2 linked regions of the Sus scrofa genome follow. The protein of the gene in region 1 interacts with the protein of each later gene in a pairwise test. Links are inferred from orthologs where the notes say so. Each region holds a gene or a part of one and is shown in the gene's direction. Other genes may lie near its edges.

Evidence for each region.
Region 2: the proteins of TRIB3 (region 1) and ATF5 interact in a two-hybrid assay, tested with the Homo sapiens proteins (2 studies listed by BioGRID and IntAct). The link is inferred for Sus scrofa from reciprocal best matches to the Homo sapiens genes TRIB3 and ATF5.

Annotation. Positions count from the first base shown.
Region 1 is NC_010459.5:34,809,336-34,813,141, reverse strand, and holds part of TRIB3 (tribbles homolog 3), read left to right. Parts: intron 1-41; coding exon 42-334; intron 335-2,572; coding exon 2,573-3,068; 3' UTR 3,069-3,806. UniProt on the Homo sapiens protein: Inactive protein kinase which acts as a regulator of the integrated stress response (ISR), a process for adaptation to various stress. Inhibits the transcriptional activity of DDIT3/CHOP and is involved in DDIT3/CHOP-dependent cell death during ER stress.
Region 2 is NC_010448.4:54,943,627-54,947,868, forward strand, and holds the start of ATF5 (cyclic AMP-dependent transcription factor ATF-5), read left to right. Parts: upstream 1-1,440; 5' UTR 1,441-1,528; intron 1,529-1,754; exon of another isoform or gene 1,755-1,870; 5' UTR 1,871-2,033; exon of another isoform or gene 2,034-2,214; intron 2,215-3,380; 5' UTR 3,381-3,499; coding exon 3,500-3,677; intron 3,678-4,242.

The DNA of each region.
Region 1 (3,806 bases):
CCGTTGTCCCCACCTGTGTTCACGCCTTGCTCGGTCCACAGGTATACCCGGCCTGCGAGGCCCTGGCGGTGCTGGAGCCCTATTCGCGACTGCCCCGCCACCCGCACGTGGCCCGGCCGTCGGAGGTCCTGGCGGGCACGCGGCAGCTCTACGCCTTCTTCCCGCGGCCACACGGGGACATGCACAGCCTGGTGCGCCTCCGGCGTCGCCTGCCCGAGCCGGAGGCCGCCGCGCTCTTCCGCCAGATGGCCTCCGCCCTGGCGCACTGCCACCAGCACGGGCTCGTCCTGCGGGACCTCAAGCTGCGGCGCTTCGTCTTTAGCGACCGGGACAGGTGAGTGTGGCCACAGAGAAAGCCTCTCAGTGTGGACTTGACTGATGTTCTGGTCATGGTTAGACGGAGGTGATGCACTTGGGGCAAGAACATGGCAGAAGCCATAAGGCCTCCTCGGCCCACTGCACCTGGAGATACAAGAAGCTGATACCCATCTCTGTGACAGAACCTCAATCTCTAGTTAAGGTGTGGAGTTTCTCCCCTTGGAAGTTTCCTCATTTACTTCCTAATTACAAGCAATGAATTACTGGCTTGAGGTACATGGAGGCTTTGCTTGTGGATGGATATTCTATTTCTCCTCAAACTTTCACTCACTCATTTCAGTGCCGTCCATTCTGTCTGTAGCAGTTATTCACATGATGTCTAAGGGTGGTTTTCTATTTCCTTCTACATTTCATACAGAAATGAACATGTTTTTAGTAAGAAGTAAAATGTAAATTTTATAACGATGTTTAAGCTAATAATACTCAGCTTCAGGTAATTTTGAGTTTAGGGTAAGTTCAATGCCCCAGACTTCCCAGAAGTGAGCGAAGTGCTTTCTGGAGTTCTTGTTGTGGCTGCGGTAACAAATCTGACTCATGTCCATAAGGATGTGGGTTCGATCCCTTGGCCTCACTCAATGGGTTAAGGATCTGGCGTTGCTGTGAGCTGTGGTACCAGATGCAGCTGGGCCCCTCATTGCTGTGACTGTGGGTAGACCAGCAGCTGTAGCTCCTATTAGACCCCTAGCCTTGGAAACTGCATATGCTGCGGGTGTGGCCCTTAAAAAAAGTGCTTTCTTCTCTTTTCAAGGCAATAGTTTGAGAAGCACCATTGGTAAATGAGGGACAGTGGAGTCAGACAGACCTGGGTTCAAATTCTGTTTCTCCCTTTTTTTTTTTTTTTTTTTTTTTGGCCAAGCCTGCTGCATGTGCAAGTTCTGGGACCAGAGACAGAACAGAATTGAGCCACAGCCGTGACAACTGCCGGATCTTTACCCACTGCACCACCAGAAAACTCCTGGTTCTATTTTTTAACTTGCTCTTTGGCCTTGAGCAATGGCTTCACTGGCCTGAGCCTTGATCTCTTTATCTGTAAAATGAGCCAATAATACTGACACCTCAGCCCACCCTCTGTGCGGTGAGTCACAGGACTGGTCAGCGTTTTCAGACAGGCACCCAGGAAGTGGTGTCATAGGAATAAGATTAATAGCAGTGGTAATAGAATGCTGACTCTTAAAGTAGTCTAGAGTGCTCTGTGGGAGCTGTTTTAAGTAGAAGTTGCAAATGGGGACTATACACACTTTTTTTTTTTCACCTACATTTTTGTTTGTGTTTTTAATTGAAGTTGGTTGCCCACTTTTTAAAAACTGAGATTTTTGTCATTAAAAATGATTCTGGGCTTCTCTTGAGGCAAAATGGGACCCCAGAGCTACTGTGGGAACCATGTGAGTGGCTCATAGCACTGGCTCTGGGTGGGTGAGAGTGAGGTTCACATCCCAGCCCTGCTTCCTGTGGCTGCAAAATGGCATCGTCTTCAGAGGTTGTATGAGCGTGAAATGAGATGAGCCAGGTACCAGCTTAGCCCAGGGTCAGGTACACAATGGACACTCCAAATATTGGCCGAATGCTGTTAGCAGGGCCTTTTAGGTAGGATTTATGTTGAGGTGTTTGACACAATCTCCATATCCTATTTTTCTCATTTTGTCACCTGCCTTGACCCTAAGTTTGCCTCTGGTTTAAGAAGGGCTTAATGCCCTCAGCCCCCTCAGCGCCCCTGCCCCAGGGACTATTGGGAAATGTGTTCCTCCCAGAGTCCCTGTTCAAATGTAATTGCTCCATGACTTTGAGAAATGACTTAACTTCTCAGAGCTTAGACTTCCTCATCAGTAAAATGGGATCAATGACACAGCCTCACAGGACTGGCTCAATCAATCTGGCAAATGCCAGAAGGCATTTGGGAGGTAGATGCCATTAAGGGTGCCAGGGTAGGGAGTTCCCATAGTGGCTCAGCGGGTTAAGAATCCAACTAGGATCCATGAGGATGCAGGTTCGATCCCTGGCCTGGCTCAGTGGGTTAAGGATCCAGCGTTGCTGTCGCTAGGTCAGCAGCTGCAGCTCCCATTTGACCCTTAGCCTGGCAATTTCCATATGCCATGGGTACAGCCCTAAAAAAGAAAACAATAAGGGGGTGACAGTGTGGGGTGGTGGCATGATGGTCCCTTTAGCGAACCCCTCTGCTTCTCCCCTTGCTTTTTAGGACAAAGCTAATGCTGGAGAACCTGGACGACGCCTGTGTGTTGACGGGGCCTGACGACTCCCTGTGGGACAAGCACGCGTGCCCTGCCTACGTGGGCCCCGAGATCCTCAGTTCCCGGGCATCCTACTCAGGCAAGGCGGCGGACGTCTGGAGCCTGGGTGTGGCGCTCTTCACCATGCTGGCCGGCCACTACCCTTTCCAGGACTCAGAGCCTGTCCTGCTCTTTGGCAAGATCCGCCGTGGGGCCTTCGCCCTGCCTGAGGGCCTCTCAGCTCCTGCCCGCTGCCTGGTCCGCTGCCTCCTCCGTCGGGAGCCCGCTGAACGGCTCACGGCCCCGGGCATCCTGCTGCACCCTTGGCTGCGGCAGAATGCGGTCCCCACGGCTCCCTCAAGCTCTCGCCTCCGGGAGGCTGACCAGGTGGTCCCCGAAGGGCCGGGACTGGAGGAGGCGGAGGAGGCGGAAGAGGCAGAAAGAGATGTGGGTCTCTATGGCTAACTAACGCACAGACTCTCAGCCGCACTCGGCGGGTTGGGTTTGGGGTATCTCCACGCTCTCTCCCGCCTCTTTGAACCGAGCTGAACCTTAAGTGCCTTCTGGGAGGGAGAGAGAGGAGGTGTGCACGGAGCGTGCCAGATGCACAACCCATGGTTCTGCACACCTGTGCCGTTGAGCTCGTGCCTCGCTGGGTCCTCTTTGGGTGCTCACTGTGCCAAGCCGTGATTTGGGTACTGGAAACACAGAGAATGACAGAGACAGAACTCCAGCCTGCAGAGTGGACAACACTTTCCATGTCCAGGGGTCAGTGTCTATACACTGTGGGTGGCTCCCTCAGTGCAGGTGTCAGCATCCACTCGTGCTGGTGCCCAGGCACCTCTGACCTGGGACAGTCCCTTTCACAAACAACCCAGCTGCCTTTGTATCTCGCACCTCCTTAGAGAAAGGGAAGCATCACTGTGCCAAAGGCTCCAGGCCTCTCTCCCATAACTCAGGACCCTAGAGCTCAGACTATGCTAGGAATTGTGCTCCCAGCAGCTCTGTCCTCTTGGTCAAGGGATTCTCCATCCAGACCTGAGCCAAGAGTTTAGGCTGGAAGGTCAAGAGTATAAACTGCGAGGCTGGACCTCATCTAACTTAAAGAATGGTTTGGAATGAGGGGTCAAGCCTGTTCATGTCAGTGGCCCCTGACCTGAGCACCAGAGTTGGGGGGCAGGATTAGGCAAGGTCTTGGAAGTC
Region 2 (4,242 bases), on another chromosome or scaffold:
AAAAAAAAAAAAAAAAAAGAGAGAGAGAGAGAGAGAATAAACCCTTCCATATGTCATACCTTTGGCTCGGATCTGATTCCTGGCCTGTGAACTCATATGCCATGGAGTTGCCAAAGAAAAAAAGAAATATGTATTTTTTCTAAGTATCTATTTATTTACTTTTTTGGGTCTTTTTCGGGGCTGCACCTAAGGCATATGGAGGTTCCAGGCTAGGGGTCGAATCGGAGCTACAGGTGCCGGCTTACGCCACAGCAGCACCAGATCCAAGCCACATCTGCGACCTACACTACCGCTCATGGCAACGCTGGATCCTTATCCCAGTGAGCAAGACCAGGGATTGAACATGCATCCTCATGGATGCTAGTCAGATTCGTTTCCGCTGCACCACAATGGGAACTCCCTATTTCTATATCTTTAATTTCACATCTACAGGAAATGATAAATGTTCACTAAACTTATGGGTAATCAAATTGTTATACTGTACACCTTAAATTTATAAAGTTTAATTATATCTTGAGTAAAACTGGAAAAAAAAAAAGCACATGCACATGGAACAAAACAAAAGAGGCCCATGTATCATTCCAGGTAACTCAAGATCTGGGTCTCCCACCTTTGGATCTTGACTCAGTCTCATAACCACCACCAAAGTCCTGAAAAGTTGTACTCCAGGTGTAACGTCTAGATGTGGATGAATGGGGGAGGAGAGGGGCTTGCAGCAAAGACCCTCGTCTACGGGGTCTGGTGGAAGGCCCTGTGTAATGGGAGGGACTGGCCAGGAAGCCCCATCTCTTTCAGCAAATGGAACTACAGATCTCCCTAAGTCTGGCAAAGGTGGAAAACTGATCTGGGGGTGAGGGTGGGGTGCACGGAGGTAGAAAACCATTTGAAAGGACGTCTAGGTGAGGGGCAGGGACAGAAGAATGAACCAACGGGCCTGAAAGGCGTGCTAAGGATAAGGGCTAAGGGGAAGCCAGCAGGGGATGGACACGAGAGTCTGGGCAATGATGCCTTGCTCCCGGCAGCAGGATGGGGCTGAGCGTCCATCGTTTGAAATGGGGGAGGGCAGGGATGCTAGAGCGAAGGAGACACAAGAATGATCTATTAGCAGGTGTTGGATGGTCGAGTCTGGGGCTCTGGCCAGGGGAGTTGGAAGGGGTGAGACTGGTCCCCAGAGGTCCTTGTTATGGATAATAAAAGCGGTTGGACCAGGCATGAAGGAGGGCTGGTTTCACAGACACCGACTGCACGGATTTTCACAAACGACCCCACTAGGAAGAGGTGATTATTCTCATTTTACAGGTAGTTCCCTATCTACGAGGCTAGAGAATTTAAATTATTTGCCCAAGGCCACCCGCGCCCGTCTGCGATTTGAATGGAGCGCGGTCTGTGACTCAAACCAGATCCTAAGCCACAACAAGGGTTCTCAGAGTGCCGTGGCAGTTGAAGAGATCAGCACGTGGCTGGCCGGAAATTCGTGAAGCAAGAGAAAGGAAAGGAGAAATGAACTCGTGCAGGGATCGGGGAAGAGGTGAGGCTGAACCACCAGAATGAGAGGGAACAGAAAGCCGGACCCCGGATCAGAAGGAGAAAGGGGCCCCACCCGAGTGGGGGTGGTCCAGGGGGTCGGGAGCAAAGCAGGGCCAGATCCTCAGGTCAGAGGAAGGGGAGGGCTGAACGCCCTGGTCGGAAGTGGGGGACAGTCCCCGGGATCCCCGAGGGCTAGAGGCCAAGCCCGCCTCCCGGTTGGGGCAGCGCGGGGCGGGGCGCGGAAGGATCCGGGCACGCCGTGCTGCGCCGCCCCCGGTATATCTGTCCCCAGTCCCCCGGGCCGCCTCATTCCCCATCCTCAGATCACAATCTCTCCTCACAGTACCGCGACACCTCCTCCGCCCGCGTAGCTCCAGCCATGGCTCTGTAGCCGCGACCCCTCTGTGCCCCCGGCCAGTCGCCGTGCTCACCGCGCCTGCGCTCTCCGCTCCTGCCGTCTTTCTTCAGCTGAGGCCACCGCCGCCTCTTCTTTCCGCAGCCATGGAGTGAGTAACCGCTCGCTCGCCCCTCCCTCTCCAACCGTCTTTCCCGCCCTTTCCAAGCTCGCGGCCCTCACCACCGGGCTCGGGGGGGTGGGGAGACAAGAGTGAGGAATCACGGTCGCGCAGGCGCAGAAGAGACAAGACGCTCCGTTTGCGCGCTGCGGAGCATGCGCACTCAGCTGATGGGGGGAGGGTGCGTTCTTCCAGACAATGTTGGCGTTTAAAGACGACCACATGCGTTTGCGCCTGCGCACTAGCTCCCAGAGAGGGTGGGTTTCCCCCCTCCTCCCCGCTCTGATTGAGTCTGTCAATCAGCGATTGCTCAGATCCACCGGCGCTTGTATCTCGGAGCAAAGGGCTGACGAGCAGCAGCCGCACGTGCGCAGCACTGATCCCGAGGAGGGCGGAGCCTTGCGGGGGCAATAGGACAGCTCTGGGGCTGGAGCCTGCGCTTTGGCCCTCGGCGAGACAGCCGTGTACGGGGGTGGGGGGAGGGGGAGTCGGGAGCTGTTCTCATCCCGCCCCCCTCCACCCTCCGCCTCCCTCCAGTTTGCTCAGGCGTAAAAGCACGTCTTCCCTCCCTTTCTTTCAAGCAACTACGGGGGCGGGGGCGGGGGGAGAAGGCGGGGCTTAGAAACGACCAGTTAAGGGACGGGAGCTAGGATAAGAGACGTCGCGGAGGGTGGGGCGGGGGCGGGGTACCCTTTGGGAGAAGGGGCGTGGCTAAGCGCGCCGTGCGCTGAGGGGGTGGGGTTTATATTGAGAAAGAGGCGGGGCCTCTGGGAATCGTCGGGGAGGGTGGAGCTAATAAACCAGGGGGCAGGGCTTGGGGGGACGGGAGACCACTGCAAAATTCGAAGGGAAGAATGGGATTTGAATGGAGGATTTTGATGAAGGGGCGGGGCAGGGGGATTCCCCTGGGAACAGATTCACAGCAGGAATCTAGGGACAGGGTGGGGCCTAAAGGATATGTTTTAGGGCAAGAGGTGTGGCTGGAAGAAAATTCCCCTGGGATTGAGGTTTTTGTGTTTTTTTTTTTTTTTTTTTTCCATGAGAGATAGTATTATGGGGTGGGTGGGAGGGTCTTAAGGTAATTCCCCTGGGACACCATTATGTTTCAATATTGGAAGGATTGGGTCTAGGGAATTCTGAGGAAAAGTAAGTCGGGGCCTAAAGAAAATTCCCTTGGGAATGGGTGGGGTCCCCATTTGAGGAAAGAAAGGGCAGATGTAGAATTCCCAAAAGGTAAGGAATCCTGGGGACCTGAGGGGGTATCGCTTGGTTTCCCCATGGCCTTGGCCGTTGGCGAGGCTGGCCCCTAACCCACTCACTTTTGTCTCCCACTCGTAGGTCCTCCACTCTCGCCTTGGTGCCCGTCTTCGCCCAGCTGAGTAATCTCCAGAGCCTCCTGCCAGCTGTTGGTGCAGCCTCCTTCATTGCCATCTGTGCCCCGCACCCGAGCTGCAGCCATGTCACTCCTGGCGACCCTGGGGCTGGAGCTGGACAGGACCCTGCTCCCAGCTAGCGGGCTGGGCTGGCTCGTAGACTATGGGAAACTCCCCCTGGCCCCTGCCCCCCTGGGCCCCTATGAGGTCCTTGGGGGAGCCCTGGAGGGCGGGCTTCCAGGGGGGGGAGAGCCCCTGGCAGGTAAGGGTAGGCAAAGAATGGAGGTGGAGTCATGGAGTGAGCTGGGGTCAGGGGGCAGGGGAGAAGAAGAATTCATTCATTCGTGTATTTATTCCTTCAATAAATATTTCCTGAGCACCTATAATATGTCAGGCACTGTTAGGTGCTGGGGATACAGCTGGGAACAAGACCGACGTGGTGCCTACCCTTTTGGCGCTCACACTCTACTGGGGACAGACAAGAGACAAATGACGATGTGTGGGGATAAGCAGGAAACAGTAGCTGAGCTCAAAAGCGACAGCGAGGACTAGTTTACAGTGGGGAGCTGGGACACCCTTTCCAAGGCAGTAACATTTTGGCTGAGGCTTAAAAAATGGTACGGGAGTTCCCGTCGTGGCGCAGTGGTTAACGAATCCGACTAGGAACCATGAGGTTGCGGGTTCGATCCCTGCCCTTGCTCAGAGGGTTAACGATCCGGCGTTGCCGTGAGCTGTGGTGTAGGTTGCAGACGCGGCTCGGATCCCGCGTTGCTGTGGCTCTGGCGTAGGCCGGTGGCTACAGCTCCGATTCAACCCCTAGCCTGGGA